Linked DNA regions of Macaca fascicularis. The protein of the gene in region 1 binds, or shares a complex with, the protein of each later gene. Links are inferred from orthologs where the notes say so. Each region holds a gene or a part of one and is shown on either strand. Other genes may lie near its edges. The genes, in order: SNRPF, CWC27, CRNKL1, LSM3, GEMIN5, TXNL4A and PPIH.

What was found.
Region 2: SNRPF (region 1) and CWC27 share a complex: the UniProt entries of both Homo sapiens proteins name them as parts of the minor spliceosome. The link is inferred for Macaca fascicularis from reciprocal best matches to the Homo sapiens genes SNRPF and CWC27.
Region 3: SNRPF (region 1) and CRNKL1 share a complex: the UniProt entries of both Homo sapiens proteins name them as parts of the minor spliceosome. The link is inferred for Macaca fascicularis from reciprocal best matches to the Homo sapiens genes SNRPF and CRNKL1.
Region 4: SNRPF (region 1) and LSM3 share a complex: the UniProt entries of both Homo sapiens proteins name them as parts of the U4/U6-U5 tri-snRNP complex. The link is inferred for Macaca fascicularis from reciprocal best matches to the Homo sapiens genes SNRPF and LSM3.
Region 5: SNRPF (region 1) and GEMIN5 share a complex: the UniProt entries of both Homo sapiens proteins name them as parts of the SMN-Sm complex. The link is inferred for Macaca fascicularis from reciprocal best matches to the Homo sapiens genes SNRPF and GEMIN5.
Region 6: SNRPF (region 1) and TXNL4A share a complex: the UniProt entries of both Homo sapiens proteins name them as parts of the U4/U6-U5 tri-snRNP complex. The link is inferred for Macaca fascicularis from reciprocal best matches to the Homo sapiens genes SNRPF and TXNL4A.
Region 7: SNRPF (region 1) and PPIH share a complex: the UniProt entries of both Homo sapiens proteins name them as parts of the U4/U6-U5 tri-snRNP complex. The link is inferred for Macaca fascicularis from reciprocal best matches to the Homo sapiens genes SNRPF and PPIH.

What each region holds. Positions count from the first base shown.
Region 1 is NC_088385.1:102,891,665-102,896,196, forward strand, and holds the start of SNRPF (small nuclear ribonucleoprotein F), read left to right. Parts: upstream 1-1,578; 5' UTR 1,579-1,700; coding exon 1,701-1,703; intron 1,704-3,682; coding exon 3,683-3,808; intron 3,809-4,217; coding exon of another isoform or gene 4,218-4,280; exon of another isoform or gene 4,281-4,532. UniProt on the Homo sapiens protein: Plays a role in pre-mRNA splicing as a core component of the spliceosomal U1, U2, U4 and U5 small nuclear ribonucleoproteins (snRNPs), the building blocks of the spliceosome.
Region 2 is NC_088380.1:70,449,523-70,453,447, reverse strand, and holds part of CWC27 (spliceosome-associated protein CWC27 homolog), read right to left. Parts: intron 575-3,925; coding exon 462-574; intron 1-461. UniProt on the Homo sapiens protein: As part of the spliceosome, plays a role in pre-mRNA splicing. Probable inactive PPIase with no peptidyl-prolyl cis-trans isomerase activity. As a component of the minor spliceosome, involved in the splicing of U12-type introns in pre-mRNAs.
Region 3 is NC_088384.1:67,263,989-67,267,913, reverse strand, and holds part of CRNKL1 (crooked neck-like protein 1), read right to left. Parts: intron 3,655-3,925; coding exon 3,463-3,654; intron 2,766-3,462; coding exon 2,706-2,765; intron 1,908-2,705; coding exon 1,827-1,907; intron 945-1,826; coding exon 705-944; intron 1-704. UniProt on the Homo sapiens protein: Involved in pre-mRNA splicing process. As a component of the minor spliceosome, involved in the splicing of U12-type introns in pre-mRNAs.
Region 4 is NC_088376.1:152,442,631-152,447,182, reverse strand, and holds the start of LSM3 (U6 snRNA-associated Sm-like protein LSm3), read right to left. Parts: upstream 2,888-4,552; 5' UTR 2,847-2,887; coding exon 2,826-2,846; intron 260-2,825; coding exon 149-259; intron 1-148. Other genes in the region: XPC (DNA repair protein complementing XP-C cells), read left to right, coding at 3,136-3,235. UniProt on the Homo sapiens protein: Plays a role in pre-mRNA splicing as component of the U4/U6-U5 tri-snRNP complex that is involved in spliceosome assembly, and as component of the precatalytic spliceosome (spliceosome B complex).
Region 5 is NC_088380.1:161,716,831-161,720,755, reverse strand, and holds part of GEMIN5 (gem-associated protein 5), read left to right. Parts: intron 1-349; coding exon 350-469; intron 470-1,830; coding exon 1,831-1,963; intron 1,964-2,949; coding exon 2,950-3,115; intron 3,116-3,925. UniProt on the Homo sapiens protein: The SMN complex catalyzes the assembly of small nuclear ribonucleoproteins (snRNPs), the building blocks of the spliceosome, and thereby plays an important role in the splicing of cellular pre-mRNAs.
Region 6 is NC_088392.1:1,012,194-1,016,708, reverse strand, and holds the start of TXNL4A (thioredoxin-like protein 4A), read right to left. Parts: upstream 2,866-4,515; 5' UTR 2,692-2,865; coding exon 2,539-2,691; exon of another isoform or gene 2,269-2,538; intron 962-2,268; exon of another isoform or gene 925-961; coding exon of another isoform or gene 889-924; intron 158-888; exon of another isoform or gene 156-157; coding exon of another isoform or gene 90-155; intron 1-89. UniProt on the Homo sapiens protein: Plays a role in pre-mRNA splicing as component of the U5 snRNP and U4/U6-U5 tri-snRNP complexes that are involved in spliceosome assembly, and as component of the precatalytic spliceosome (spliceosome B complex).
Region 7 is NC_088375.1:192,210,557-192,215,153, reverse strand, and holds the start of PPIH (peptidyl-prolyl cis-trans isomerase H), read left to right. Parts: upstream 1-1,588; 5' UTR 1,589-1,612; coding exon 1,613-1,678; intron 1,679-2,010; coding exon 2,011-2,075; intron 2,076-2,393; coding exon 2,394-2,417; intron 2,418-2,686; coding exon 2,687-2,731; intron 2,732-4,046; coding exon 4,047-4,089; intron 4,090-4,597. UniProt on the Homo sapiens protein: PPIase that catalyzes the cis-trans isomerization of proline imidic peptide bonds in oligopeptides and may therefore assist protein folding. Participates in pre-mRNA splicing.

The DNA.
Region 1 (4,532 bases):
CTCTTATTGGTCCCCTCCTGCAACCAATCGGACCGGTTGTGGGCCAATGGGAAACCTCTAGAGGGCATTCAAACCCCAGAAAATTCTGTGACCAATGCTCTTGAGCCGCTTGCACCAGGCGGTGCCCACCCTGTGGAGTGTACTTTCATTTAAAATAAATCTCTGCTTTCGCTGCCTTGCTTTGTTTGTGCGTTTTGTCCAATTCTTTGTTGAAAACGGCAAGAACTCGGACAGCTACCCTCAACTGGTAACAGTTACCTGCTGGGCCTGCTTCCTCATCTCTAAAACGGGGCTGTCACCCCGAATCAGACGGTAAGGTAAGATTTCCACAATTGTTGAAAGAGCCTGACACATAGTAGGAACTCAAAGTCTGCACAAAGACTTAAAGTTCATGAAACAATATACAAACTAAGGGAGAAATCCACTTAAGTTTAGGGTGAATAAATCTAATAACTGTTTGGTAAAAACTACACTGACAATGACTGTCTTGTCAGTGTTCAACACTTATGTGAAACACTGAGCTTTTACAAGGCCAAGCCCCGTTTTAGGTTAAATTCTCGCAACCACGCTGAGGATGGTTCCGTTTTTAAAGCCGCGTTCCTGCCGTGGAAACAGTGGCCCTGAGGGTTAAGACACTGCCCAACACCGGCTGCGCCTGATAGACGCAGGTTCCGAATGCAGGCCCTCTCCAAAGTCTTGCCCACTGCTCCACAGTGCCTCAACAACCAACATTTCATCCTCAACCTCAAATCCATCTCTTCAGGGCCGCAAAAAAGCGTTACTTCCCAAAGGGCGTGTTCTCCAAGAACTGCATTTAGCATTTCAGATCAGAGTGAGCCGAACTCACTAGGATTACGACAAAAACCAGTGAGATTCAGATAACACCGTTACGTCGAAAGTTTTAATCCGTGACAGCGGAAATATTGCTTACGCCCTTAGGTAATTTCAAATGCACGTAAGAAGGCCGTGCCAGTCTCTGCTGGCGATGCAAAAGAAAGATGGGGCCGGCGGGGTCGTGGGGGGTGGGGGGACATGACATCATATCCCAGACACAACCTGACCTCGTTTAAAATAAATTCTGTATCCGACTCCCTTCGGTGCGTTTCACCGCCCCTAGTCTTGTCTGGCTACCCCCGAAGTCCTTTAAAAGGGGTTGAAATGGGTGTTGCAGAAGAGAGAATACTCAGGTAGAAACGGCCTGCGGCAGAGGCGCCCCCAAATCATGGAACCTGTTGGAAGAGTGAGGAAGGAACTCTGGGATCCTGAACATTCTCACGGGTGTAAAAAGACAAAGTAAAATCCCCATTAACCAAGTTGGGGAGAAGTCACATCCGTTACACAGCCTCTCCCAGACCGCACATTTACAACACCGGCCTGCCTCCAGTCCTTGGCTGCCTCACCTTGCTCCTCAGAGCGGGTTTCCCAAGACCCGCGCGCAGCCGGCCAGGCGCAAACTCAAGCCGCTGCTGGTTGCCAGGAGATACTGGTCCAACCATCTCCTCCAATCAGCGCGCATCTCTTTTCGTCCAATCACAGAGGCAGGAAGGGCCGTGGTGGGAGGTGAAAGGTCACACTCCTGTTTGGCGGCCATTTTTCTTGAAATTCAGCGGCTCGGGACCTGGGGTACCTGCTGTAGTCACGAGGGACAAGCGGCAGCCTGGTCGGCAGTGAGTAGCCTGCAATATTCGGCCGTGGTTACGATGGTAAGGAGAACGAGAACGGCGGGAGAAGCGGGGAGAAAGAGAAGGAGGGAGACCACCTCGCGGGGCCTAGTGGTTGCTTCGCGCGTTTCCCATTCATCCGCGTGAGGCGCCGCGCACCCGGTCGCCAGCTTCTTTCACTCTGCTTTTAGGATTTCTGAGGCGCGTGCTCCTCCCGATGCCTTTCTTTTTCTAGGAGTACCCGTGCCTTCTCCTCTTTGTTTGAATCCGGGCTTGGGATATTCTTGTTTGTGGCTACAGGGTCGGGGTAAAACTCAAAGAGAATTTGCACTTCCCACTTAACCACACTCCAAAATTCACTTTCATTGCATGAAAGTAATGATACGGCCATGCTCTAGTTTAACTCAGTTGGTTGGGGAAGACAGACAGTCAAAAAATAACAAATATGCAATTGCAAGTAATAAGTGCTAAGAAGAATGCAGACAGGAGGCTGTGAGGGTGCGCGTTAGACATTTAGAGGCTTAGTCAGAGATGGCCTCCCTAGGAGGTGGAATTTAACCTGAAGCCTAAGTGTCATGAAATAGACCCTTTAAAGAGCAGGAGGAGGAGTGTACCGAGCACAGGGAATAGGCGCATAAGACCTGCGGCCGGAAAGAAAGCTTGGTCAGTTGGAGAAATTGACAAAAAGGTACAGCCACTTGCAGGAAGAGTGGTTACGAGATGGTGTCGGAGGAGCAGGCGTTGGACAGGACCTCTTAGGCTGTATTGGGAGGTTTTGATTGTACTCCAAATCAATTGAAAATGATTGAGTTGGAAGCCATTGAATCATTTTAAGCAGAAATATGACAATTTGATGTGCACTTTAAAAAATCATGTTGCTGTGGTGGATAATAAATTGGAGAATGAAAACTGGAGACCCATTAGGTTATTGGAGTAATCGCCGTATCAAGTCACTCCGAATATGTTTATGTTAGAGGGGGTTAGTAGCCAAGTTTCTTAGTTCTGTTCTTTCTTTGACTGGTGAGTGAGCAGAAAAAGGCAAAAACCGAATTCACTGGAGATGTTAATGGTTTGCTGAACAAACTTTAAGTGATTTCTATAAGAGGCAGTGCTAGTGACAAAGTCATTTAGGACCTAGCCCTAGCTTCCACAGTTAAAGACTGTCAAGCGTCATCTGCCCTCTGCTTCCTTCTGTAGTCTTATATTTGGGACTTTGACTGACAATGCTGAATTGTATGTCCCCAAAATCACCTTGTTGCTTCACTCTTCCCTCCTTTTACATAAGTAGCTAGCCTTGCCTGGAACAGGATTTTTTCCCGCTCTGGAAATAAATTCTCATTCTTTAAAACTGAGGTTAACTTATTTCAGGCAACCTTTCCTTTTTTCCCTGGATTGCTTCGGTACCCTTGTGCCTAGTATATCTCCTCTTATTATGTTGCAATATGCAGTATAATTATTTGTATGTGAGGAGCCCCCCTCCCCATCTCCAACTTCTTGACAGGGACTCTGTTATTTATTTATGACAAGGTCTTGCTCTGTTCCCTAGTAGCCGGGACTACAGGTGTGCACCACCACATCTGACTATTTTTGGTAGAGAAGGTGGTCTCACTATGTTGCCTGGGCTGGTCTTGAAATTCTGGCCTCAAGTGATCCCCCTGCCTTGGCCTTCCAGAATGCTGGAATTACAGATATGAGCCACCCTTTCTGGCCCGCATTTTTTTTTTTTAAAGTGCCTTTATCTTTGTTTCTTTAGAGCTCAGAACAGTAAGTGATGTATGTAGTCGGTGTTATCTTAAGTGAATAGTGAGTATTTTGTTTTGATGGGTTAAAGGTGATACTGACTAACTGGATATTTAAATTTCCCTGGTACTCTCCAATAAATAAAAGTGAAAATTGTGTACTAAAATAATGAGTCAAGAGTTTTCTTCATTTGCATACCACAAAATATTGGTATTTAGTAGAAGAGAGTTGGTGGTGGGAGGAAAAATAATTAATTGGATCCTTTTTTGTTCTTTGTGCAGAGTTTACCCCTCAATCCCAAACCTTTCCTCAATGGACTAACAGGAAAGCCAGTGATGGTGAAACTTAAGTGGGGAATGGAGTACAAGGGCTATCTGGTATCTGTAGATGGCTACATGAACATGCAGGTAAGCTAAAGAGCTGTAAAGGTCATAACATTGCATTTAGTTTGCTTCACCTTATTGCTCAAAGGTTTAGTCTGACTAATAAGAATACATACAATTAAATTGACAAATGTACGGCAAAATTAAAAAATAAAGTCAAAGCCAGGGAGGATACTATGATATACTAGGTACAAGACATGGACTTAAACCAGAATTCAGCCACAGATTTTATTCCTAGTAGTTAAAGTAAGAAGAGCTCAGACATTTAATTCATAATAATACTGTAAGGGAAACACACTACTTTGCTGGAGAAAACAAAACATTTCTCATCATTTAGCCCTGAAAGAAAGTTTTCAAGTGAAATTCATGAGTCTTTTAATGAATGATGCTAAAGGCACAACACCAAAGTTATTGAGGAAATTCATTCCTTCAGGGGAAAGACACATCTGCCGAAGAAATTGAACTGACTGTATGTCTGTCAAATGAGTTTCTGTAAATGATTCAGCCATGTGTTTTGGTGGGGGTTTTTTTGTAATTAATTTTCTTTTTATTGTGGTAAAATATACATTACAATTTTGCCACTCTAACCATTTTTAAGTGTATAATTCAGTGGCACTAAATACCTTAACATTGTTCTACAGCCATTACCATTATCCATTTCCAGAACTTTTTTATCATCCAAAAGTGACATTTTTTGCCCATTAAACAGTAATTTTCCATTAAACAATAATTTTACAATTAAACTTTA
Region 2 (3,925 bases), on another chromosome or scaffold:
TCTTGATTAATGCATCTTTTACAGACTATTTATTTATTTATTTATTTTTTTTGAGACAGAGTCTCACTTGGTCGCCCAGGCTAGAGCGCACTGGTGCGATCTCAGCTCACTGCAACCTCCACCTCCCAGGTTCAGGCAATTCTCCTGCCTCAGCCTCTTGAGTAGCTGGGATTACAGGTGTGTGCCACCATGCCTGGCTACTTTTTGTAATTTTAGTAGAGACGGGGTTTCACCATTGGCCAGGCTGGTCTCAAACTCCTGACCTCAAATGATCCGCCCCCCTTGGCTTCCCAAAGTGCTGGAATTACAGGCATGAGCTACTGCACCCAGCCTGATTTTTATATACTACTGTGAAATGTTTTTTCCTCTTGTGGAACACAATCATTTTCGATTAAGCAATCCAAACTGACTTGGAAATAATAACAACAAAAATAGTAATAAAAATAATAATTCAGTCTTACTTTGAATGGTGCTCCATAGATAGACTCTCCACCACTCCCTGTGCCAGTAGGATCTCCGCCTTGGACTATAAAACCAGGCACAACTCTATGAAAAATGGTATTGTCATAATAAGCTGAAAAAAAATAAAAATAATTTATCAATGTCTAAAATTAATCATATCTACAGTTACCAAAATTAATACAGCTAGAGTCAAAAGATTTATTTTCCAGAACGTTAAATAGGCTCCCAAGCCAAAACCTTTTGTATCCTCCTTCTTATAAAATAGTTACTTCTCAAAACAGCACACATTTCTACAGAAACCATCATTGCTGACTTTTTGTTTTTATTTCTAGGATTCTCTCAAACTCTGGATTGGTTTTCAAAATAGAAATTAGAGAGTTCTGGCAGGAAGGAGCAGCAATTTTGTGCCCCAGGGGACATTTGTCAATTTCTGAAAATATTTTTCAGAAATGGGGGATACTATTGGCATCTAGTGAGTAGGGGGCAGGGATACTGCTAAACATCCTATACTGCAAAAGACAGTCCCCACAACAGAGAATTACCAGCCCAAAATGTCAACTGTGTGGAGACTGAGAAACCCTGGCAAAGATGAACACCTTATTTCCGATTGCTTCCTCTTTTCCTCACAGAAAATTAATTTATTAATATACAAACTCATAATACATCAAAATTACTTATTAGTTATAGGTCTGGAACCATCAATACACCCTCCTCAAGAAACTCTGAATAAACAAAACAAATAACACAATACATACTTGAGTCCAATTAGCTCAATTGTTTTGCTAAATGATTGAAATAAATTATTCATATTTATATATAATTCAAAAATATACAATTGGAGTATATAATTTAGAACTCATAAATATACAGGGCAGATTGTATATGACCTCCCATACTATATATTATCTGGAACCTAAAATCATTAGGGTACTTGATAGAAGAAAAGGAAGTTAACTTGGGAATGGCAGAAGCATGGCATCTCAGTGAGTCAAAGCATAAGTGAAAAATTGAGTGGGGAGCAGGAATTAGAGTTTGCCTGAATAAGAGAATTTACATTAAGAAGTAGCAATAATGGCCAACACGCATAAGAAAAGATGCTCAATATTATTAGTCATTAGAGAAACGCAAATCAAAACCACAATCAGATACTATTTCACACCCACTAGAATGGCTAACATCAAAAACCTTAAAAGAGTAAGTATTGGTAAGGATGTGATGAAACTGGAACCCTTTTACATTGCTGGTGGGAATATAAAATAGTGTAAAAAGTTAAACACAGAATTAGCATGTAATCCAGCAATTATGCTTCTAGGTGTATGTGTATACAGGTAATATATATGTTTATATATTAATATATAGTTTTTAAGTGTAAATATACATAGTTCACATAAACAATATATAATATATAAGTAATTATAATAGTAGTTATAAGTAATTTTGATATATATTGTTTGATATATAAACAATATATAATATATATATCACTGTGCACATGATCAGATTTGCTTTTATGAAATATCAGATATTTATATATATTATTTCTATATATATCCAAAAGAATCGATTGTTTACATATACATCCAAATTATATATATGTATATATATCCAAAAGAGTTGAAAACAAGTACTCAAATACTCACACACAAATGTTCATAGCAGCACTAGTCACAAGAGCCAACAGGTGTAAACAATTCAAATGTCTATCAACAGATGAATGGATAAATAAAATGTGATATATACATATGATGGAATATGACTGTCACAAAAAGGAATGAAATACTGATACATGCTACAAAATGGATGAACTTCAAAAACATGCTAAGTGAAAGAACCCAAACACAGAGTCACATACTGTCAGACTCCATTTATAAGAAATATCTAGAATAGGTAAATCTGCAGAGATGGAAAATAGATTGGTGGTTGCTGGGGGCTGTGGGTGGAGAAGGGGTATGTTATTCCATTCTCACACTGCTATGAAGAAATACTTGAGACTGGATAATTTATAAAGGAAAGAGGTTTAATTAACTGACAGTTCCACATTGGGCAGAGGCCTCAGGAAACTTACAATCATGGTGGATGGCAAAGGAGAAGCAGGCACTTTCTTCAGGTAGCGGGACGGAGTGAGTGCAAGCAGGCGAAATGTCAGATGCTTATAAAACCACCAGATCTTATGAGACTCACTCATTATCACAAGAACAGTAAGGGAGAAAATGCCCCTATGATCCAATCACTTCTACCTGGTCCTGCCCTAGACATGTGGGGATTATGGGGATTACAATTCAAGGTGAGATCTGGGTGGGGACACAGAGCTGAATCCTATCAAGGGGAGAATAGAGAATGACTGGGTTAATGGATACAGAGTTTTCTTTCGGGGTAATAAAGTGTTTTATAACTATACAGAGGTGCCAGCTGCACAATACAGTGAATGTACTAACTGACACTGAACTGTACACTTAAAATGGTTAGTTCTATGTTGTATAAACTTCCCCACAGGTTTTTAAAAAAATCCTTTAGGTGGAAGGAAAGAAATTATTTTACATCACTGAAATTAGTTCTGTACTTACATTAGGTAAGCACAAGAGGAGAACATATGTAGTATGAAGTACTGAATAAACAAAAGCTATTATTTTTGTTGTTGTAAAAACAAACAAAAAGCAAGTAGCAACAAAGCAGGTTGTGGTTGAACCAACTATTGAGTTAGGCAGACATGATTCAATCACATGCTTAGGGTTACAAAGCAGAAAGATGTAAAGAGCACAGTTCCCTAAAGATTTCACAGAGCTTCCCTAAAGATTTCACCAGATTTCTTGACATAGAGGATGATAAATGTCTTTATTATTTAAATCATTTTAAGTTGGGTCTTCTATTACCTGCAACTGAATATAACCTGAATATAACTCATTCAATAAAAAATATTTATCAAGTATCTACTGTGGGCCAGGCATTTTACTGATACAATTACTGACATAATTTATAAAGTTCCTATTTTAGTGGCTTGGAGACACCCTCATAATTATTTATATTTGCAAAGCATAACTGGATGTACAATGCATATTTTAAAAAATATAATCTGTATTCTAACAACTGTATTTAGTACACAGTACGTAAGAAGAAGTAGAAAGGAAGACCAGCTGACTTTGCTTACTCCCTTCTCCCAGTGCAGGGCAGTTGGGCTGTATTTACAAGAGCTCCCTAGTGCAGACAAGTTCCCTCTGGTTACAAATACACACTATAAAAAGCAAAAGGTCTAAAAGTATCTCTCCTATATTCCTAGGTAACTGTTTAATGAGTTACACTAACACTGCATGTAGCAGTCAGGAGTTTGAATCTCGCCTTTTGCTAGCTATACAATCTTAAACTCCATTTTCTCATAAATCTAATAACATAAATTAAGGCACAGTGTCAATCTGAAGATTAAACAATGTGAAAGCAAACTACACATTTTCAAGTTCAACACATATGT
Region 3 (3,925 bases), on another chromosome or scaffold:
CACTGGCTCGGTGCAGCCTGGCAGGGCATAAGGATGAATAAACCGTGGCCTGGACACCTGAGACCTGGCAGTCTGGTGGAGGAGCTGAGGACAACTGACAAACTCAGTGATACCCAAAGCTCTGCCTTAACGCAGTCAGGGGGCCAAACCATTAAATGCAGGGTCATGTCAGTGCATGAGATTAACAAAACAACTGGGTGAGTTCTACGGCTCCTGTGAGATTCAAATTGGTCCTAGCTGTGGTTTGGTGCTACCTTGTGGGTCAAGCTTAACTACTGAAGGCAGGCGACGACTTTCAGGACAGTGACAACAGTAGTGGCAAGGACATCCTGGTTTAGAGAATACAGGGATATGTGTTCCCACCTCCATCCCCCTTGTTCTCCAGGTGGGCCAGCCTGCTGGCTGCTTCTTTGCCTGGCATCTTCCCCAGCCCCTTTAGGCTTCCCTGTTGGAGAGGGGCATCACCCACCCCCACGATATCCCAATTCATCCTGGGCATCATCCTGGATGTCTACTGGTATCTAACAGGAGGGGTACCTCCCCTGTCCCCGACAGTCACCTTTCCACATACAAGCCTAATCTGAGCAGAAGAGACTAAGTTAGCTAGATCATCTTTATACTCTAAAATACACCCACATTTAGATGGTCATCTAAAGTAAGACTAAACAAGTATCTTAAAATGGTATTTGACTTGAGATGCTCACCTCTGGCATGTCTAAACGTGGCTGACTGATGGCTAATTCATAGATTGCCCGTGCTCTGTCAATATCACCAAGGATTGTCTCTAATTCAGCAAATTTAATCCACGAGGTACAATTTTCAGGTCCGAATTCCAGGAACTTTTCATAAAGCTTCCGGCATCTGTCAAATTCTCGAAGCTGTAGCTCCAACTCTATGTAAACTTTAAATAATTTGTTTTTTGGACATTTGCCTATGGAAGTTCCCTGGAAAATAAAATAACCAGACCACTATGATACTGTAGTGGATTCAATTTGTGCAGTTATTGCACTGCCCTAGAGGTTGTCCTCTGCTGAGGAAGAATCTTGCAAAGTCAACGTGGCCTACCGTTCTTTCCCTCTGTGGTATCACAATGTTTACTGATTCTTGACAAAAGGCTGAAGGAAACTCCTCTAATTCATTCAGCAAGAGGCAGTGTTCCAGAATTGTTTGGGCAACTAAATAAAATAAGATTTGAAAGTTTCTCAGGATCTCCTAGGGAATATGGATGTCAGATGCATAACACCTCCTATAAATAAAAAGGACAAGGCATGGTGGCTCATGCCTGTAATCCCAGTATTCTGAGAGGCCAACGTGGGAGGATTATTTCAGCCCAGGAGGCAGAGTTTGCAGTGAGCCAAGATTCCAAGATTGTGCCACTGCATTCCAGCTTGCGGAACAGAGCGAGACCCTGTCTCAAAAAAAAAAAAAAAAAAAAAAAAAAAAAAAAAAAAAAAAACCAATAAACAGGAAAAGAAAAAAAAAAAGGAAAAAAAAAAGTAGAACAATTAAAAGTGCGTTTAATACACCAAAAAGCTTGCACAGGATCAGATTACCAATTCTAGTCTGTGGAAAGATCTAGTAACTGGTAGCTAGAGAAGTTTCCAATATTGAAACAAAATGTAATTTACCCCAGGTAATAAGAATAATTTACGCATTATTAGTCAGTGTTTTTACAGAGGATGCATATTTTCTAACATGTCCCAGGCTATAAAGGTATAATACTTCTGTCACTTTCTAAAGTAGGAATTGTATAACTTCCAAGCACCAAGACTTTAATTTCTTTCTCATAGAACTTAATCAGACATCTTGATCCTTTCTTTACTTACCAATGCTCTTCTGGCTAATGACAGATTCTTCTGTCGTATTTCAAACTGTGCATACAGTATCCACATTTTGGCAAATGTGAACTAGAAAACAAAAGCACAAAAATATCTAGCTTAAAAGCCTCATCCAAATTAAATTGAAGTAAAGTAAATTTAAATTAACCAAGGCCATTGGTAATTCTATTTCTCTAAAACTTCAGAGTAAGAGGAATGTACTCTGCTTATTTACAAGCAAAAAAGACCACATTCATTTCACAAAAGCTAGAAACCCACATCCCATGATCCAGATACTGCACTGTACTGCCTGGCATGGTAGCCTCTCCTCAGAATCATGATCCAAATACTGTACTGTACTGCATGGCACGATAGCCTCTACTCAGAACAGACTTTGTTTTGTAGGCGTGCTTGTATGTGGGCAGAATGTCCTACCTCTATTCTGAAAAGTAACTCTGTCAACACTTCTACAGAAGGAAACACGTTTTGTTTCTCGTGCTGGGAAACAAGGCAGAGGTAACATCTCAACCATCTACACAAGGGGCACATTGATCTGGGCATGGACACACTCGCTGTTACCAACAAATCTGCCTCTGTGTCCCCGACACATGTTGTGTGCTCTCTGCATGGAAATCTTTCTCCCTCCACTCAGACTATTCAAATTACCTAGCCTTCTCTGAATTTCCTTTGTTTGTCAATGCAGGCAGTCCTCCGACCTAGACTGTGAGCTGTGTTCAGAGGCAAGGTGCATATCTCAGTTTTACTTATGTTGTCCATGGTGGGTCAGGGAAATATTTTATCAATCAATATTATTTCACTGAGTTACTTCACAAGTAACAGAAGAGGATTCTGACCTGTTTGAAATGGAACACTTTAGAGCAAACATACCTTTTTGTGAGGAATTAGTTCCAAAGAGGCTTGATACACCTGTCTTGTCCTCTCAGGATCCTGTATTAGGATAAGAAATTTTCACAAAATACTGAAGTCTGCTGCTAACACTCATTTTACTAGTTACTAATTTTACTGATACTAGTAAAAAGGTACATCCCCAAAACTGAGTATGTTTCACAAGTTGTTACTTGCCAACCCTGATTTATGATCTAAAGTATGAATGGCCATGAAACTTCAGTTTAAGAATCACCAACAAGACACCAAACTCTAAGCCCTTCTTTGTAGAAAGACTTTTTGCCTGATGGCGGAAAGAAACAAAGACATTTCGTAGTCTCAGATCAAACCCAGAAGGTTAATACAAATGATTTCTGAAAATGCCACTTGATTTTTCCTAAAAGCAAAAATGCATAATCTAGCCATAATTACCCCTATTAATGAGCAAATCCAGGAAACTATATTTAATTAAACTAAGGGCTGGTTCACCGTTCTCTTTCAAGTTCCAAGTGATATCTTGTTGTGCCTCAAGTAAAAATCAAACCAAAATAAGAAAAGCCCCTCACGTGTGGCCATAACAAGCACAGAGAGTTTAAAATGTTGCAGAGTGAACATGTAACTGTATGGCTTGAACAGAAGCCTATAAAAATTTAAAACTAAATTTCCTTGTTTCAAGAATTATAAATATCCACAATAGGTGAGCTGTGAATACAGAGGAGAGGAAACCATTAACAGCTGACACATAATTCTGTTTTTTCACCTTTGCCTCCAATTCTTCATAGAGTGCATAGTTGATCCAAAGATAAATGTAGCGCTTCCAGTGCCTCTTCTCCTGAATGGGTGGGACATTGGCAATGGCCCTTTCATAGACTTCTCTCACGGCTTCAGCTTCTGCATCACTTTCTACCAAGCGCAAGTAATCAAACCATGCATCGTAATTGTGTGGATTCGCCTAGAAAGACAACCAGTTTAATAAATAAAAAACAAAACCAAGAGCTGCACTTGCCAGGTTAAGCAAGCTGAAAAAAGGCATCAGGCCGACTTTCTATATTTTAGCACCTTTTCTTCTAAATTTTACATGTTCTCTCATTTTAAAAACACCATCCCTGAGACTGCATAAATAGAAAAGACACAGGAATACAGAGGTTAGATTACTGGCCAGGTGTCCCACAGCAAGCACCCCTTCATCTATAGTCATCACTCTCATGATAGTCAATAATTAG
Region 4 (4,552 bases), on another chromosome or scaffold:
AGCTTCATCTGGCTTATGGAAACATGGGTGATTTTCCACTACCCTCTCTTCCTTCAAAATACCTTTTCACTCTGGACAGGTTTTACATTTCAAGGGAGTGGGGGTGGGAAGGAATCTGATTTCAAGGTAACTTGATAAATTTACTCACATGTAATCTGCCTCGAAGCTCTCGGTCATTTCTCATCTTCACATAAATTCGCTCATCTAGGCTGAGCCTGATAAGATCCAGGGGCTCCTCTACAGTGTTGGTAGTTTGTTGCTGATAACAGAAACAGGTTTAGTAATATAGTACTAGAGATAAAGTAGTGCTTAAATCACTGCTATGCTGTATGACCATGTGCAAGTTATTTAACCTTTTTCTGCCTCAGTCTCCTAATCTGTAAAATGGAGATAATAGTGTCTACCTAATACTGTTTTTATGAGGCTTAAGTGACATATATGAAGGCTTAGAACAGAACTTTTCACATAGTATGTGCTATATAAATGTAGATTAAAACACGCATACATAAGAAGGAGTTACACAGCAAAATAATCATGACTATACTTTGTTCCCTCAAAATCCAAACTGCCTGACCCGATTTCAGGGTATAGGGTCTTAGGAACTTTAGCTTTATCTCAAATATTATGTAATCATAGGAAAAACACTCACTTAATGCCTACCATATACTAGTCAGAATGCCAAGTAGAGGTGTAGGTTTATGGGAAGATTATGAATTCAGCACAGGTTGAGGTTAGGCTGCCAACTGGCCAGTAAGATGAATATTTAGTAGCCAGAATAGAACACTGGTTCAAAGCACTGGCTTAGCCGGGCATGGTGGCATGCGCCTGTAGTCCCAGCTACTCCGAGGCTGAGGTGGGAGGATTGCCTGAGCCTGGGAGGTGGAGGTTGCAGTGAGCCAAGATGGTGCCAACAAGCAAGCAAGCACTGACTTTGGAGTCAGGCAGTCTGGGTTCAACTCCTGGCTGTGACCTGACACTTATGAACTGAGATTAAAAATCATGCCATCTGTAATTCTCAGATTCTTCATTTGTAATTGAGAAAGCCACAACCTTCCTTCTGGATTCTTATGAGGATGAAACTAGTTAATGCATTTAAAACAGTGCCAGGAAAGCAGAAAATATTAATACTTAGAAACGGTTCCTTTTGGCTGGGCGTGGTGGCTCAGGCCTGAATTCCAGCACTTTGGGAGGCTGAGAAAGGCAGATCACCTGAGGTTAGGAGTTTGAGACCAGCCTGGCCAACATGGTGAACCCCGTCTCTACTAAAAATACAAAAATTAGCCAGGCGTGCTGGCACGTGCCTGTAGTCCCAGCTACTTGGGAGGCTGAGACAGGAGAATCGCTTGAACCAGGAGGCAGAGGTTGCAGTGAACTGAGATCACGCCACTGCACTCCAGCCTGGGCGATAGAGTGAGACTCCATCCAAAAAAAAAAAAGAAAAGAAAAGATTCCTACTAATATTATATTATTAAAGAACTGCTGGAAACACTGGTTTTAGAGGTCAGGGCTAGGATGACTTGGGGTCACCCACATGGAAGGGAGGGTTGCAGCCATTAAAGAGTTAGATGATTCAAGGAGAGCTTCTTTAGTAAGCACACAAGGCCAGTGGAGGAAGGTAACTGAATTCGTAACAGGCGCTAAAGATTCAAAAGGCCCGATGAGAGAAAAAAAAATAACCTAACTCAACTGGTCCCTATGTCCCTCAGTTCAACAGGTGTTTGTTAAAGGATCTGATAACCAACTGTTAGATTACAATGATACAGAAGTCACAATCTCCACCCTCAAGGAGCTCATTCTAATGTGGATAGGCATATGAATAATTATAATACTGTAAGAATATGCACATGACAGAGCTCTACTGCTACCTAAGCCTCTGTCTGGGATGCCCACTTTCTGTTCTTTTTCATCCTGTAGCTTTATACATTGGCTTTTAAAAGAGGCCTCCTCTGATCATCTAACTCATTCACTCAAATATTTGTTGAGTATTTCCAGCACTGTTCTAAACCCCAAGGACAAAAGAATGAACAAAACAAAATGCCTACTGTTATGGCACTTACATTCTAGTCAGGAGAGATACACATTAAACAAAGATGCATACATTTAATATGAAAAAATAACGTTCTATGAAGAAAAATGAGGCAGGGTAAGCAGAGTAGGGGGAGTGCTATTTGGGCAGAAGTCCTCTCTGAGGAGGTGAGATTTCAGTAGAAAGTTTAAGTTGTAGCATGATCTCCAAAGATATTTGAGGAAGAAAAAGACCAGGTGAAAAAGCTTCTAGGACCATCTGTTATTCTGCATACCAGTTCCTTGTTTCCTTCATAGCACATCACAGTTCCTATAAATCTTACATATTTATATTTATCTGTTCTCCTCGCGAATATAAGCTCCAAGTCATGGCAAGGATCACTTATATATCGATGTCAGTGTCCCTGGCTCTTAGAACAGTGTCTAACCATACAAAGCTGATGTTCACTCTCTCTGCTGAATGAGTAAATAATTGTTGTGCTCAGTAATAACAACTCCTAACTTTATTATCTGGCTTTCTATTGGAATCCTGACAGCTCCGTGAGGTAGGCACGCATAATAATTTACAGATTTAAAAAAACAAAGCGAAGAGTGTGATGAATAGTCATCAGGTGGCCTTCTAACGGAAAAGACCTCAGGGCCTGCAGCAAAATTCGGACAGGGGTGTTTACGGAAAGGATGGGGCGGATTAGGCCGTGTGACTTGGAAAGAAGAGGCGCGACTGGCCATTTTTCCTGCGTTTGGAAAAAGCAGTTTAGTACAAGAAGCGGCGCCGAGCCACCGCCTTAAAATTCACTCACCTGGTCTACGTCGTCCGCCATGTTTCAAACCCTGCGCCCTTTCCCGCCTCTCGCGAGAACACAAGAGCAACGCCGAGCTCCGGAAACGTGATGCTACAATACACCGGAAATAGAAACCTGCTGTGCTCTTGCCTGCTTCCCGCGGTTTTTTAGTGGCCACGGGTATGGGGCGGAGCTTCCTTTGGGGGCGTGACTAGGCCTCCAACGAAGGGGCGCGGCCAGACGCGCCCGCCTCGGGGCGGGGCCTGCGTTCTAACGCATCGCGGCCTGGTGCGTCACTCGCGAAGTGGATTTTTCCCCGACAAGCAATATGGCTCGGAAGCGCGCGGCCGGCGGGGAGCCGCGGGGACGCGAAACGCGCAGCCAGAAGTCCAAGGCCAAGAGCAAGACCCGGCGTGAGGAGGAGGAGGGTGAGAGCGTGGCCCAGCGGGCTTCGCGGGAGACTCTGCCGGTGGGCGGAGGAGGCCCAGAGGCAGGGGCGGCGGGAGTCCAGACGCGGAGGCCGGGTGGAGGTTGCTGCGCGCGTTCCGCGCAGTGGGGGCAGCACGGCAGGCCGCGGCCGGCCCTCCCCGCTGTCCCTGCGCCTTTGTCCTCTGCACCCAGAGCGGCTTCCCGTGAGCCTCGCCCGACCCAAGCTCCTGCGTAGCTTCTTTCCCGCTCCCCGTTGTCCAGAGGATACAGCGCAGATGTTCAGGGTTGAACGCGGAGAAGGCAGTTATTTGTGTCCCAGGAAAACGGACGGACGGACCAGGACGTAGAGTGATGCAGTGTGCTGACTCCCGAATGATAACTTCAGCTGAGTCTCGCCCAGAGTTCCACAGTGGGATCCCACCTGACTTCCCCTCGTGGATATTGGATAGGCTTCTTACATTTGTCGTGGACAGTGCAGAGCTCATGGTCTTCCCCTTCAAATCTATGGTTTCCTCCGTTTTTCCAGTCCCAATACTTGTTATAAAACAAAGTCCACCTTTTTCTTATGTGCACACATCCAGTCCCGTCAGCAAGTCCAGTCAGTTCAGCCTCAGACTGTATTTCAAATTTGTCCACTTCTCTTCATTTCCATGGCCACAACCCCTGTCCAAGTCACCATCACCTTTCAGTTGAGTGACTGCAGTTTCCTCTTGACTGGCCTCCCAGCTCTGCATCCAGCAACGCAAATAATCTTTAAAAAAAAAAAAAAAATCATGCCATGCTCCTGCTTTAAACTCTCCTTGGTTTTCCATTGCTCTTAGTTTAAAACCCAGTTGTCTTATCCTGGCCTGCAAGATGCTACGTGTTTTGGCTCTTGCTACCTCTCCTGTTTCTCCTACCACTTGTTTCCTTGCCAGATACCCTCCTCATTGGCCTCCTTTCTCTTCCTCAAATATGCCAAGTTATTTCTTGAGCCTTTTCCTTTGATATTCCTTCGGCCTAGAGTGACCCCCCACCATGGCTTTTGCCAGGGCTGATTTCTTCAAATCTCAAGTCAGACATTCCTTGAGCAAACTAAGGTAGTCCTTCCCAGATACCCCGTGGATACTAAAACCTGTGATGCTCAAGTACCTTGTATCAAATGGCCTAGTGTTTCCATGTAACCTATGCGCATACTCCGACATACTTTAAATCATCTCTAGATCACTTGTAATATCTAATACAATGTAGATGCTATGGAAATAGTTGTCATACTATAGTTTTAAAATTTGTGGGTTTTCTTTTTCCCGAAATATATTCATCTGTGGTTGGTTGAA
Region 5 (3,925 bases), on another chromosome or scaffold:
ATTCTCCTGCCTCAGCCTCCCAAGTAGCTGGAATTACAGGCATGCGCCACCATGCCCAGCTAATCTTGTATTTTTAGTAGAGACAGGTTTCTCCATGTTGGTCAGACTGGTCTTGAACTTCCGACCTTAGGTGATCCACCTGCCTCAGCCTCCCAAAGTGCTGGGATTACAGGCGTGAGCCACTGTGCCCGGCTGAATTATATCATTTTAATTATACATAAAACTTCAAATTTTACAGTTCAGACCTATGAAAGAGATAGCTAAGTTCTGGGAACTCTTGCAAACTAATTGTTTTATATTAGTGTGTGTTTAATGCAAATTAAAAGCAAAATTGCTACCTATCTCATAGAAGAAGCTGAAATTACCAATGGGAATGCTGTGGCACAAGCTCCAGTAACAAAAGGCTGCTACTTAGCCACTGGAAGCAAAGATCAAACCATTCGAATCTGGAACTGTTCTAGAGGCCGAGGTAAGATTGATCTTTCTTTTGTGATGTAACCTGTGTTGATCTGGTGGAAGTAGAGGGTTTTTTGTTCTGTCTTATTGTCCTGTGGGTGTGTCATCTATCTGAGAGCAGTTCTTCACTTTTCGGTCTAGAATTCTGCTTCCTCATTTGAGCCTGGGCTAGAACTGTCTATTCTCTCAACATCTGGCCTTAGAATGAGTATTTCCCATGCATTCCAGAAGAAAACAAGGACCTCTTGGTTTATAGAAAGGGTCACTATTTGGCATGGAGAGCAGAATATTTGTAATAAAAATGGGAATATTAGAACATGATATGGCCTAGGCCAGGAGAATGGAAAAGATCTCAAGAGTTAGAGCTTTTAATGCACAAATGCAGAATAACATACACCCAGCCTGGAATTATGTGTAAAAGCTCATTTTATCCAAATTATAGAGCCCCTCAATCATTTAGCGTTCCCAAATTTCTCTTTGAACAGAACTTTTCTCGTTAAGTTTAAAAATTAAGAGAAACTCTAGGCATAATTAATATTTATAATATATTAGGGAATATAACCTTTATAGTAAAAATCTTGCTTTTCTCTTTCTAGCGGGCTTCTCCATTTTATTTTTTTTTTCTCGCAGTTTTTTAAGCTGTGGTGGAAAATACAATATTTGCCATTTTTATCACTTTTAAGTGTACATTTAAGTGGTATTAAGTATACCCTAAAGTTGTGCAACTGTCACAACCACCTGTCTCCAGAATTCTACTCTCCATTCTCCCCTCCCCCGGGCCCTGGCAACCATCATTCTGCTTTCTGCTCTATGATTTTGACTACTCTTGAGTATTTTCTTTGAGTGAAATTAGACATATGATATGTCTTTTTGTGATTGGCTTATTTCACTTAGCATATATCCCTGAGGTTTGTTGATGTTGTACCGTACGTCAGCATATCCTTCCTTTCTAAGGCTGAATAATATTCCATTGTATGTATGTCCCACATTTTGCATACCCACTCATCCACTCGATCTCCTGACTTCATGATCTGCTCGCCTCAGCCTCCCAAAGTGCTGGGATTACAGGCATGAGCCACCGCGCCTGGCCAAAAAAAGAAAATATACTCTTAATGTGTTGAGGTTGTCAAGATAGCTTATGGAAGCTTATTTGACCTAAATGTAGCTGGACTAGTATTAACCACTGTTTATAGTGGTTAAAAATATAACCATTATAATGGTTATAATTGTAACCATTGGAAAACGAGATCTGAATTCTAAGTAACCAAACTAACAAGCTTTTACAGCTCAGACTGTGTATTGTGAACTGCCAGCAATGTCATGCATGTAATTTCACTGTCTTGAGTGCCCATTGGCCTTCCTTTTAATCTGCAGGGGTGATGATTTTGAAATTGCCCTTTCTGAAGAGAAGAGGAGGGGGTATAGACCCAACTGTTAAAGAGCGCCTTTGGTTGACACTCCATTGGCCCAGCAATCAGCCAACACAGCTGGTATCTAGCTGTTTTGGGTAAGTCTTTTATGGTCATGCTTTCTTAGATATGTTTTGTTTTTCTATTTGGCCTCAAGGACTCCTAGGTTTCTCTTTGTAGATGGAGAAAATAATGGCCAAGGCTTGTATTATGATGGGCCCCATTTGAAATGGAAAAATTGTGAGACTGATGCTTGTGCTGTCTACTAACAGAGCTGTAAAAAGATCAAATAAGTATAGTCTGGCAGTTAGGAATATGGACTCTGAAGTCAGAAGTAAATTTCAGAATCACTTTGTCACTTACTGCCTTGTATTCATGAGCAAGACCCTTTACTTTTCTGAGCTTCAGTCACTTCATGTGTAGAAAGGGGAGATGGTTATAATATTTTCTCTTAGGTTGGATGGCTATGCCCATTCAGTAAACAGAGTTCATTGACTACCTACTTCTAGTGACTGGAGATAAATCTGTTTAAAGGGTAGTCCAGTATACTCACATGGTTCAAGAAGAATGAAATTATATAATAAACTGTCCTGTCTTCCCTGGCTACTTGGTTCCCCTTTCTGTGGCTCAAATTTTTTTTTTTTTTTAAACAGGGTCTTGCTCTGTTACCCAGGCTTGAATGCAGTGATGCAAACACAGCTCACTGCAGCCTCAACCTCCTGGGCTCAAGCAATTCTCCCACCTCAGCCTCCCAAGTAACTGGGACCATAGGTGTGCACCACCATGCCCAACTAATTTTTTAATTGTTTGTAGAGGCAGTCTCACTTTGTTGCCTAGGCTGTTCTTGAGATCTGGGCTCCAAGCTATCCTCCTGCCTCAGCTTCACAGAGTGCTGAGATTACAGATGTGAGCTACTGCACCCAGCCTTCCCAGAGATATTTTGTGCGTATTTTCAGAATATGCAATTTTTCTCTCCTTAAAAGACAAATCATTTTGCAGCTATGAGCCTAGACTCTGTGACTCAACAGTCACTTGTTTTCAGATTGTTTGTAAAAGAACTAATGCTTATGTTTTTCCTTCACAGAGGTGAACTGTTGCAATGGGATCTCACTCAATCTTGGAGACGGAAATACACCCTCTTCAGTGCCTCATCAGAAGGGCAAAATCATTCAAGAATTGTGTTTAATTTATGTCCTTTACAAACAGAGGATGACAAACAGCTATTACTTTCCACATCAATGGATAGAGATGTAAGAGCTGCTTATTTTCACTCAGCATTGTAGAGCAGCAGTTTACAACTTGGGTGGGATTAGAGGGCTTTTTCAAAGCACCTGTCAAGTCATAATACCCCACCCCTGACTCCAATTTCAGAGTTACTGCTACAGATCAGCACTGAATATATCAATAGCTCACATGTAGGGAGAATGTGAAGACCCATCAAAATGGTTTTTTGTTAAAGCAGACATGATAAAGAAGTTTTGCCCAGGGAAGGATATATTAGGTCAAGCTTGTCCAACCCATGGCTCAGGATGGTTTTAAGCTCATCAGCTGTTGTTAGTGGGGTTTTTTTCTTTTCTTTTTTTTTTTTTTTTTTGAGACGGAGTCTCGCTCTGTCTCCCAGGCTGGAGTGCAGTGGCGCGATCTCAGCTCACTGCAAGCTCCACCTCCTGGGTTCACGCCATTCTCCTGCCTAAGCCTCCCAAGTAGCTGGGACTACAGGCGTGCCCACCTGCGCCCGGCTAACTTTTTTGTGTGTGTGTTTTTAGTAGAGACAGGGTTTCACTGTGTTCGCCAGGATGGCCTCGATCTCCTGACCTCATGATCCCCCTGCCTCAGCCTCCCAGAGTGCTGGGATTACAGGCATGAACCACATGCCCAGCCTAGTTTTAGTGTATTTTATGTGTGGCCCAAGACAATTCTGCTTCCACTGTGGCCCCAGGAAGCCAAAAGATTCGACACCCCTGTGTTAGGTCCTCATGCTATGGTTTATCCTGGTTTGTAGTTTAGCAGAATAGAAATCTTTCAGAGACTATTGACTTTAGTTGAAAGCCTGTTACCTT
Region 6 (4,515 bases), on another chromosome or scaffold:
AGTGGGCCTTGTGGAAGCAGCAGATCAATACAACACATCCAGGAAAAAATCGTATCAAGTCCAGCCGAACATCTGCAACTGTTACTCACTTTAAAACAGCTGGGACATCGACAGGACTCATAACAAGATAAGGAAGATTCTCCATTATCTGCCATTTCTGCACAGGGAAATTTTTAAATAGTTATATTGTTCTTTATACTAAAATCTTACATTTCAAAAATTTCTGTTGAGTTTCCCCAAAAGAGCTTCCAGAATTAGAAAGTCATATTTTGCCCATATACTAAGAAGAAAATAAAACACGAATAGTCTTTTAATGCATTTCAGGTTTGCACTTATTTTTGGAGACAGGGTCTCACTCCTGTTGCCCAGGCTGGAGTTCAGTGGTATAATCATGGCTCACTGCAGCCTTGACTTCCCGGGCTCAGGTGATTCTCCCACCTCAGCCTCCCAAGTAGCTGGGACTACAGGCATGTGCCACCACGTCTGGCATTTGTACTTTTAGTAGAGAACGGGTTTCACCATATTGTCCAGGCTGGTCTCGAATTCCTGGGCTCAAGTGATCTGCCTACACTAGCCTCCCAACCAAAGTGCTGGGATTACAGATATGAACCACCGTGCCTGGCCTAGGTTTGCGCTTTTAATAATTATACTATAATATTTGCATTAAAAGTTTATTAATAAAGCAATCCAAATTTTTGGACAGAAACAAAAATCAAACTATTTTAAAAGACCAAAAAAAAAAAAAAAATACCCCAAAGTGAGCCCATTTCAACTGTCCTTAAGTGTGTGTCCACTAGTGATACAGTGATTCATTCTGTAATAACAAAGAAATCGGACATAAAGGAATTGGAAAAAAAGAGCAAATCTGGCAAAGACCCTAACACTTACATTAACACATAAAATCTGTTTCCTAGCTAAGAGCATCTTGCTGAGCTCTGCCTGGATGTGATGAGACAAAGGCCCTCACATCGCCAGCCATCCTAGCCTCGAGCTGCCGGCAGCAGGATCTGAACACCAGCTGATGTTTATGCCACCATCTGCAAGGTAGAACAGTGAAAGATTCTAGAACTCGTAACTCAAAGTCAGTGATTTACAAGCAGTGATTTACTTATTGGGAAACTGCTCTTCGTCAATTCTTCGCTGGATTTCCAGTATCTGCCCTTGTCCACTACAAGTCAAGCAATGAAAAGCTGATGTGCTGGCACTGCCTCACTCATCATCTCTAATCCCTGGCTGGCAGAAGCCCCAGTGTGAGAGAACTGCTGCTCTCCTGATTCCCTAGGCAGCTCCTCAAGTCCTCAGTGTCCTGCTGTCCAAGAGGAAGAGGCTGGGAGATGGCTGGTAATAAAGCACTCCGCCTCTGTCCCTGACCCCCATGGAAGGGTTTCTGAGTGTGTGGTTCAAGGTCAGGTCACATCAGAATTCCCTGAGGGGCTTCTTTAAAAAGCCATTGCTGGACTTCACCCCACACCCATAGACTCAGAATCACAGATGCATTTTAGTAAGCACTCCAAGAGATTCTTGTAATAACTAAAATATAACAACAGTTCCTAACATCACGCCTCTCCTACTAAATAAGAAATAGCAAGAATTAATAAATGGCAGGCCAGACAGTCTTTCCTTTCCTCAATATAAAATGTCTTTATATCTGTTACTCTTTACTCAAAGGAGTTATTTTAACCCAGCCTACTTTAGCATCTGTGAAAGAAAAGATAGCTTCAATGTTACTTTTACTCTTCATCAAAATGAATAACCGCTCAAATTACTTACGGAAAATTAATATGGCAAATATTTTATTAACACCCTAGTATTTGTGCCCTTTGCCCTATTGCTACAGCTGCAAAACCTAAATAAACGCCATCCTAAAATTGCTGTGAGGAACCACAGAAAAAGAATGAAACCTGGTTATAAAATAGTGTCCCACAACTTTTATTGTCAGCAAGTAAGTGCCAAGGCCACTCAATGTACTAATATTAGAAATTCAGAAAACTAGTTCCAACAAAGCATAGTTCTATTTTCTCCCGATGTTTTCTGCATCTTAATCACTCTAAGCTATAAATCACATGACTTACAAAAAGCGCGGTGGGAGAAAACAACAACAGAAAAACAGGATTTCTTATGCTATTAACATGAAAGTTCTGCTTTACACATACAACAAACAAACAAGGCACCAAAAAAGGGCATCCTTTTAAATTAAGGATCTGCGCTCTCAAAATCTGCAAGTGTTACTTTGTTCACTGCACTGTAAGATTGGGAAAAACGCCTTACCAACAGAAATAATGAATTCCTTCGAGGGGAGGGGGATCATAAACCCTTTAAAACGTGAACAACTACAGGACCTCCCTGCAGAAAAAGGCGCGAAACGCCGGCACAGTCCCCGAGAGCGCTCGCCCGCAGCGCGGGAAGGAATCGCCCGGACGACCGCGCCGCGGCCCCTCCTCGGGGAACGGCTCGCGCCCCCAGGCGAGGCCGGCGGGGCAGAGGCGCGGGGCCGCTGCGGAAGCACAGCCAGCAGGGCGGGAGGGCCCGGCGCGCTACCTTCTCGGCGATGCTGTATAGGACCTCGTCCATCTTCATGCAGGTGGGGTCCCAGTCGTGGCCGAAGCGGATGACGACCACGCGGTCCTCCTCGGAGAGAATGGCCTGGTCCACCTGCCAGCCGTTGTGCAGGTGCGGGAGCATGTACGACATGGCGACCCGCGCGCTCGCCGCCGCCCGAGGCCGGGCGCCAGGGAGGGCCCAGCGAGGTGGTGGGCTCAGCCGGCCCCTCACTCCGCGGCCCCCGCCGCCCCCGGGCCCACAGCCGAAACCCGGTCCCACCCGCACCCGCAAGCTCCGCTGGCACTGCCGCCGGGCGGAACCTCTGGGCGCGCACGCACCGACGCCGTGCGTGCTGACGTCATGCGCACGGGCTGGCGCCGTGCGTGCTGACGTCACGCGCGTACAGACGCCGCGCTAACTTGTCGTTGGCCGGCGGGAGCGGCGGCGACCTGGCCACGGTGGAGCGCGGTTGGTGCCCTCCTAGCCGGCGTCGGAGTGGGGGTTCCTCCCCAGCGTCCAGGCGGCCTGGTGGTCCTGAGAAGCCCCGGGCTCGCCGTGCCCTGCCCCGACGCACCCGCCCCGAGGCCGCCCGCCGCCGCCCGGGCTGTCCTCCAGCCACGGATGGGGACGTCTTCAGAAAGGCCCGGCATGCCCGGCACTGCGGCTCGTTTTTTTCCTTTCCGGTGTCTGTTTCGGGTCATCGTTTGTGCTGTGTGTTAGCGAGACGGTTCGTGTGTGTCATTTGTGAAACTTGACCATAAAAATGTGTCGTTGTTGCCATACCCAGCCACGGCAGAGCCGAGCAGCGGGGTGGGGGGAAGCACTGGGCAGGCCGTCCTTGAGGAATGTCACCGTCAGGCCGGCTGCTGAGCTGCCTGTTGTAACCCGAAACCAGAGTTTTTGTCTTTTTATAAAGAAAAAAAATTTTTTTTGAGACGTTGTCTCGTTCTGTCGCGCAGGCTGGAGTGCAGTGGCGTGATCTCGGCCCACTGCAGCCCCCGCCTCCCGGGTTCAAGCGCTTCTCCTGCCTCAGCCTCCCCGTAAGCTGGGACTACAGGCGCCAGCCCGGCTAGTTTTTTTGTACTTAGTAGAGACGGGGTTTAACCATGTTGGCCAGGCTGGTTTCGAACCCCTGACCTCAAGTGATCCGCCCGCTTCGGCCTCCCAAAGCGCTGAAATTACTGGAGGAAGCCACCGCGCCCGACCTGAAGCCAGTTTTATTGCATAGCTTCAGCATAACTTGCACCTCCAGGACTGATCTGGCTCCCCCGGCTTCGCTCCCCAGTCAGAGCTCCCCAGACCCTTACTGGTGCCTATGAACTTTCTCCAAGAGAAATAATATTTCTCTTTTTAAAATAAAACCTCTAATCTCTGTTCTTCTGAGAGAGCACTTTGGGTTCATGTTAGAGACTCCCCCTGGTTTGCAAACTGACATTGACAGTAAAACTCTTGTCTGCTATCCAGCCATCCTTGTGGTCCTTTGGATGACAAATTGACAACAAATCATGCCGGGGCGCGGTGGCTCAGGCCTGTAATCCCGGCACTTTGGGAAGCCGAGGCCGGTGGATCGCCTGTGGTTGGGAGTTTAAGACCAGTCTGACCAACATGGTGAAACCCCGTCTCTACTAAAAATACAAAAAATTACCCGGGCGTGGTGCCGCGCGCCTATAATCCCAGCTACTCGGGAGGCTGAGGCAGGAGAATCGCTTGAACCCGGGGGATGGAGGTTGCAGTGAGCTGAGATCGCAGCACTTCACTCCAGCCTGGGTGACAGTGAGACTCCATCTCAAAAACAATGACAACAAAAAATCACTATGCAGATGCTGTGGTGTCTCTCAGATGGGCTGTGGCATAGTGAGAACTGCAGTCTGAGGAGCCTGCTGGCCTGGGGATTGAAATGGGTTCCATGTTTGGTTTCCTCTGGGACACAGCACCATAAGGTGCTTTGATAATATGCACCCACAATTTAAATAG
Region 7 (4,597 bases), on another chromosome or scaffold:
TGCTAGCTATCATCATTTATTTTCACTAGCAGTTTATCAATGTACTATTTTTTTCACAACCTCATCAACATTGGGTATTATCAATTTTAAATATTTATTCTAAAACAGTTGGTATAAAATTATACTGAAGCATGACTGCTGCTGTTCCTTTTCTCCCTCTTCCCCTTTCTTCTTTTTCATTTGGAGGAGACCAAGAGGAGAGGATCAGTAACCAGGAATAAAAATGACCCTTTAAATTGAGACACACTGGATTTTTATATGTAATTCTTGCTTCCTCCGACGACAGAGCTAGAAAAGATGATCAAAGGACCTAGGAAATAATAACTATTATATTAAATGCATGCTGTTATAGCTAATGAGTCTTGCCCAAGTTCCCCTTCTTTCACTAAATTCATTGAATCTATTATATTTACCTACTATGTGCTATTCAGTAGGAGACATTGCAGCTACAGCTGCGAACAGGACTGAGAGAGTCTCTACTTTCATGGAGTTTATATGCTATTAGGGAGGAAGATGTATGTGTGTGTGGCAGGAAATGAGGTGCAGACACATACCATACAAATGTGAAATGGGGGGTGGCATGAAGAAAACAAACCAGTGATCTGAGTGACCAAGGGCTACTTTAGATTAGGTCTAATGTTGCCTCTGAGGAGGTAACATCTGGGGTGAGCCTTGAACTACAAGGAGCATTACTTCCCACACACATAGCCCAACCAAACCCCACCATCACCCCGCCAACCCACATTAAGATCTGGAAGGAATATTTCAGACAGAAGAAACAGCTATTACAAGGCCTTAAAGAAAGGAGGGATCTCAGTGACCTGGAGGAGCAGACAGGTCAGAGCACAGTAACTAAGGGCAAGTGGTACAAGATGAGGTCAGGTAGGTAATAGCCAGATTAATGCACTGGAGGGCTTCCTATGTACAGAATTGGATTTTATTCTAAATATAGGAAGCCAGGAGTTATTTTAAAAATAAATAGGAATCACAAGAGGTATTTTAAAAATAAAAAATAAAAAACTCTAGTTACTCTGTGGGAAACGAATTGGAAATGACCAAACTGGGAGCTTGTGGCAGAACGGAAACCTAATCTATTGTCCTGACTTAGAGGAAGGGACAAATATTTACTTAGCAAGCCTTTACGTGCCAAGCTGTTCTAAACGCTGAGGATGAACAAACCAGAGTTCCTGCCTTCACGGTGTTCACAGACTAGCGGGCAGAAGACAGACACAGCACGTGTGGCGGTGTAGAGGGCTTGGTTCCAAGAGCCGATAAGGAGGACCCTGGCGACTGCCTAGTCCAAAAGCCCTAGCTAGAGCAAGATCAACTTGTACTGCCCTTAGTACAGCCACGTGAGTGGGGTGACCATCGACCTTAACCAAAAAGATGTCAAGGCTTTCCTCCTCCTCACTCCCGCGTCCCCCGTCTCAGGGAGAGTCTCCCAGCTAGACCCCAGCAGCCTCAGCACACACGGCACGGGGCGACAGCTTCCGGGGGCGGGGCCCGGTCTCTCTCTGCGTCCACCGCGCCTGCTCCCCGGACGAAACCCGCGGACAGGGCTTTAGGTTCGCCGGAATCCCATGCTCCCGACTTCTGCTTCCGGGTCGGAGCCATGGCGGTGGCAAATTCAAGTCCTGTTAACCCCGTGGTGTTCTTTGATGTCAGCATTGGCGGTCAGGTGAGATCCAGGACGCTACCCACACCTGCGCCGAAGGGAAACTGCTCGGGGCTAGCTAGGCAGGCAGAACTCACTCAGAGAGAGCGGACTCGGGAAGCCAGCCAGAAAGCGAAATTGCACCCGAACCTACCGACCTGCAGGGCGGGGAGAAATGAGGAGAAGTCTCCCCAATCCTAGCGCCCCGCTTCTGGAGGAACTGGGTGGTTAGACCAGAGAGGCGGAGGTGGGTGATACCGAGCGGCAGGGTGGTGGGTCAGCCCATCCTGCCCCCAGCTCCGTGAAGCCCTCATGGTCTTGGACTGGGCCTTCTGACAGTCTCCCGCTGATTGCAGGAAGTTGGCCGCATGAAGATCGAGCTCTTTGCAGACGTTGTGCCTAAGACGGCCGAGAACTTTAGGTAAGGACGTGCTCCAGTTCCGCTGGATTAGCTAAGGCAGAAGTCGGGCTCTAGTCAGCCGCCTGAATAGCCTGTCTACCTCTGTCCGTCCGCTCACTGCTCTTGAGACCTGATTCCTCCGTGCTTTGCTCTGTCTGGTTGCCGTTTGGATTGTTCCCGTGTTAATTTACGTTGTTAGTCTGTACGTCTCCGTGTTTGGACGTCTGGCTGGCGGATTGGTGGACTTGCTGGCTCCATTGTTTATTCTTTCCCGTCTTTAGAGGCGGTCACGACTGTGATGTCATAGTGATTGAATTGTTCACTTTTTGTCCCTTTCAGGCAGTTCTGCACCGGAGAATTCAGGTCAGTTTCAGATGTGTTTGACTTCTTTGCCTGCTCCAGAAGGGTGTTCTGGGGCTGCGGTGAGGGTATCGGTGAACCAGCTGCTGGCCTTGAATGATTGCTGGTGACAGTGATAGAAGGTAATGCCCCAAGGGTCTGTCCCTAGTTTATTTGCCTTCTTTATGTCTGTCAACCATCTTTAGGAGAGTCCTTTTGGCTCCAGTGCATGGTAAACTGGAAAGGCCTTGTGCTACCTGCTATCACTCCAAGTCTCTTTCTTTTTGTTATAGAAAAGATGGGGTTCCAATAGGATACAAAGGAAGCACCTTCCACAGGTAAGGCTTTTGGCAAGCCATCCTAGAGTCTTTCAGAAATATTTCCTGGGGGATTAGGCTCTTTAGAGGAAAATAAAACCAGAGGTAATTCTTACATTTCTTGAGAAGAAATGTTTTTGTGGACTCAATAACTGAAGATTTATTAAATATTCTAACTCTACTTATACTCTCCCACTTCTTATGTCTTTAAAACAGAAACTACTCATCTTTACAATATCCTGTCTTTTTCATGCACTTGTTTGTGCAAATGCAGATTTTTAAAGAAGTACACTTGTAATCCTAAAGTGCATATAATATATCCTGCTGGTTGCTATTTATAACTAATTCCTAAAATGATCATATATGATTGTCCAAGGATAATCATATTTCCTGGGGAGTGGAGTATGGCAACACTTAGTCTCATTTCAATATAGAATCTTTCTCATGGCCTCACTGTGGTTAGTAACAATGTTAGCACATAATTATATCACAGCTTTAGAACTGTGGGTCTCTAATCCCCAGTAAGACTCCTGTGAAGTGGTATGTGTGATCTGCATTCTACAGAGGAGGAAACTGAGGATAACAAAGGTTAAGGACCCTCCCTAGGGGTAATAGCTAACAATTGTTAAGCCCTTACATGTGTAGCAGTACCTTTCACATAAATTCTCTGTAGTTCTTTCCCCCAAATTTACATCAAATCCTTGATCTGCCTTTTGCTTTGGCAAGTAATGTGGTCATTCTTCCTGCAGGCTTTCAGCCCCTTCTTCTTGTTACTGTTCAGGTACCAGATCATGCACTTGATCAACTCTAACATGCCCTAATTTATAACTAAAATCCTTTTTTATGGTTAATTATCCTTTCAGCTTAATCATTCCAGGAAAAGAATAATCTTCTTTTTTTGTTGTTTTGGTTTTTGGTTTTTGGTTTTTTTTTGAGACAGAGTCCCGCTCTGTCACCCAGGCTAGAGTGCAGTGGCATGATCTTGGCTCACTGCAACCTCCGCCTTCTGGGTTCAAGCAATTCTTTTGCCTCAGCCTCCCAAGTAGCCGGGAATACAGGCATGTGCCACCACGACTGGCTAATTTTTGTATTTTTAGTAGAGATGGGGTTTTGCCATGTTGGCCAGGCTGGTCTCAAACTCCTGGCCTCATGTGATCTGCCTGCCTCGGCCTCCCAAACTGCTGGGATTACAGGCGTGAGTCACCGCACCCAGCTAAGAATGGTGATTTTATAATAGCCAAAGTTATAGTGTATTTTGAAATCAATGTTAATCTAATACAATAATAACAAAGTCTCCATAAAATCTTCTCTCAGTATTCTTTGCTCTCTGTTTCAGGGTCATAAAGGATTTCATGATTCAGGGTGGAGATTTTGTTAATGTAAGTACTATTCCTTTTCTATCAAAGACCTGTAGTTTTAGTTTTTATTATTGTTGCAATTGCTGTTTTTACTACAGAGACCCAGTCTTAAGGCTTGAGAACAATAGCCAGGTTTGATGGGGGTGTTGGAGAGAATGGTGATGGGGAAGTTCTTGAAAGTGGCTAGGTACAACTGACTGTAGATAACAGACTTTAGCACTTTGATTGAGGCATTAACTTCCATGGTCCAAATCTCAGCCTTTTTGAGCCAGAAATTGGACTTTTTAAGAATACCCTGTAGATGATCTATGATAGGTTCACACTAATTAGTCATATGAAACTTAGTCAGAAATCAGCTGTGGTTTGTTTTTGTTTTTGTTTTTTTCTGAATGGAGGTAAATCTCCTTCTAGTGGACTAAATGCCTGTCTCATTTTCTCTTTTACTTCTGGTGTCACAGTGCCTGGAAAGCTGAGTTTTTCATAAGAAGTTGATTTGTGGGCAAGGAATCAGAGCGAGATAGGTAGATAG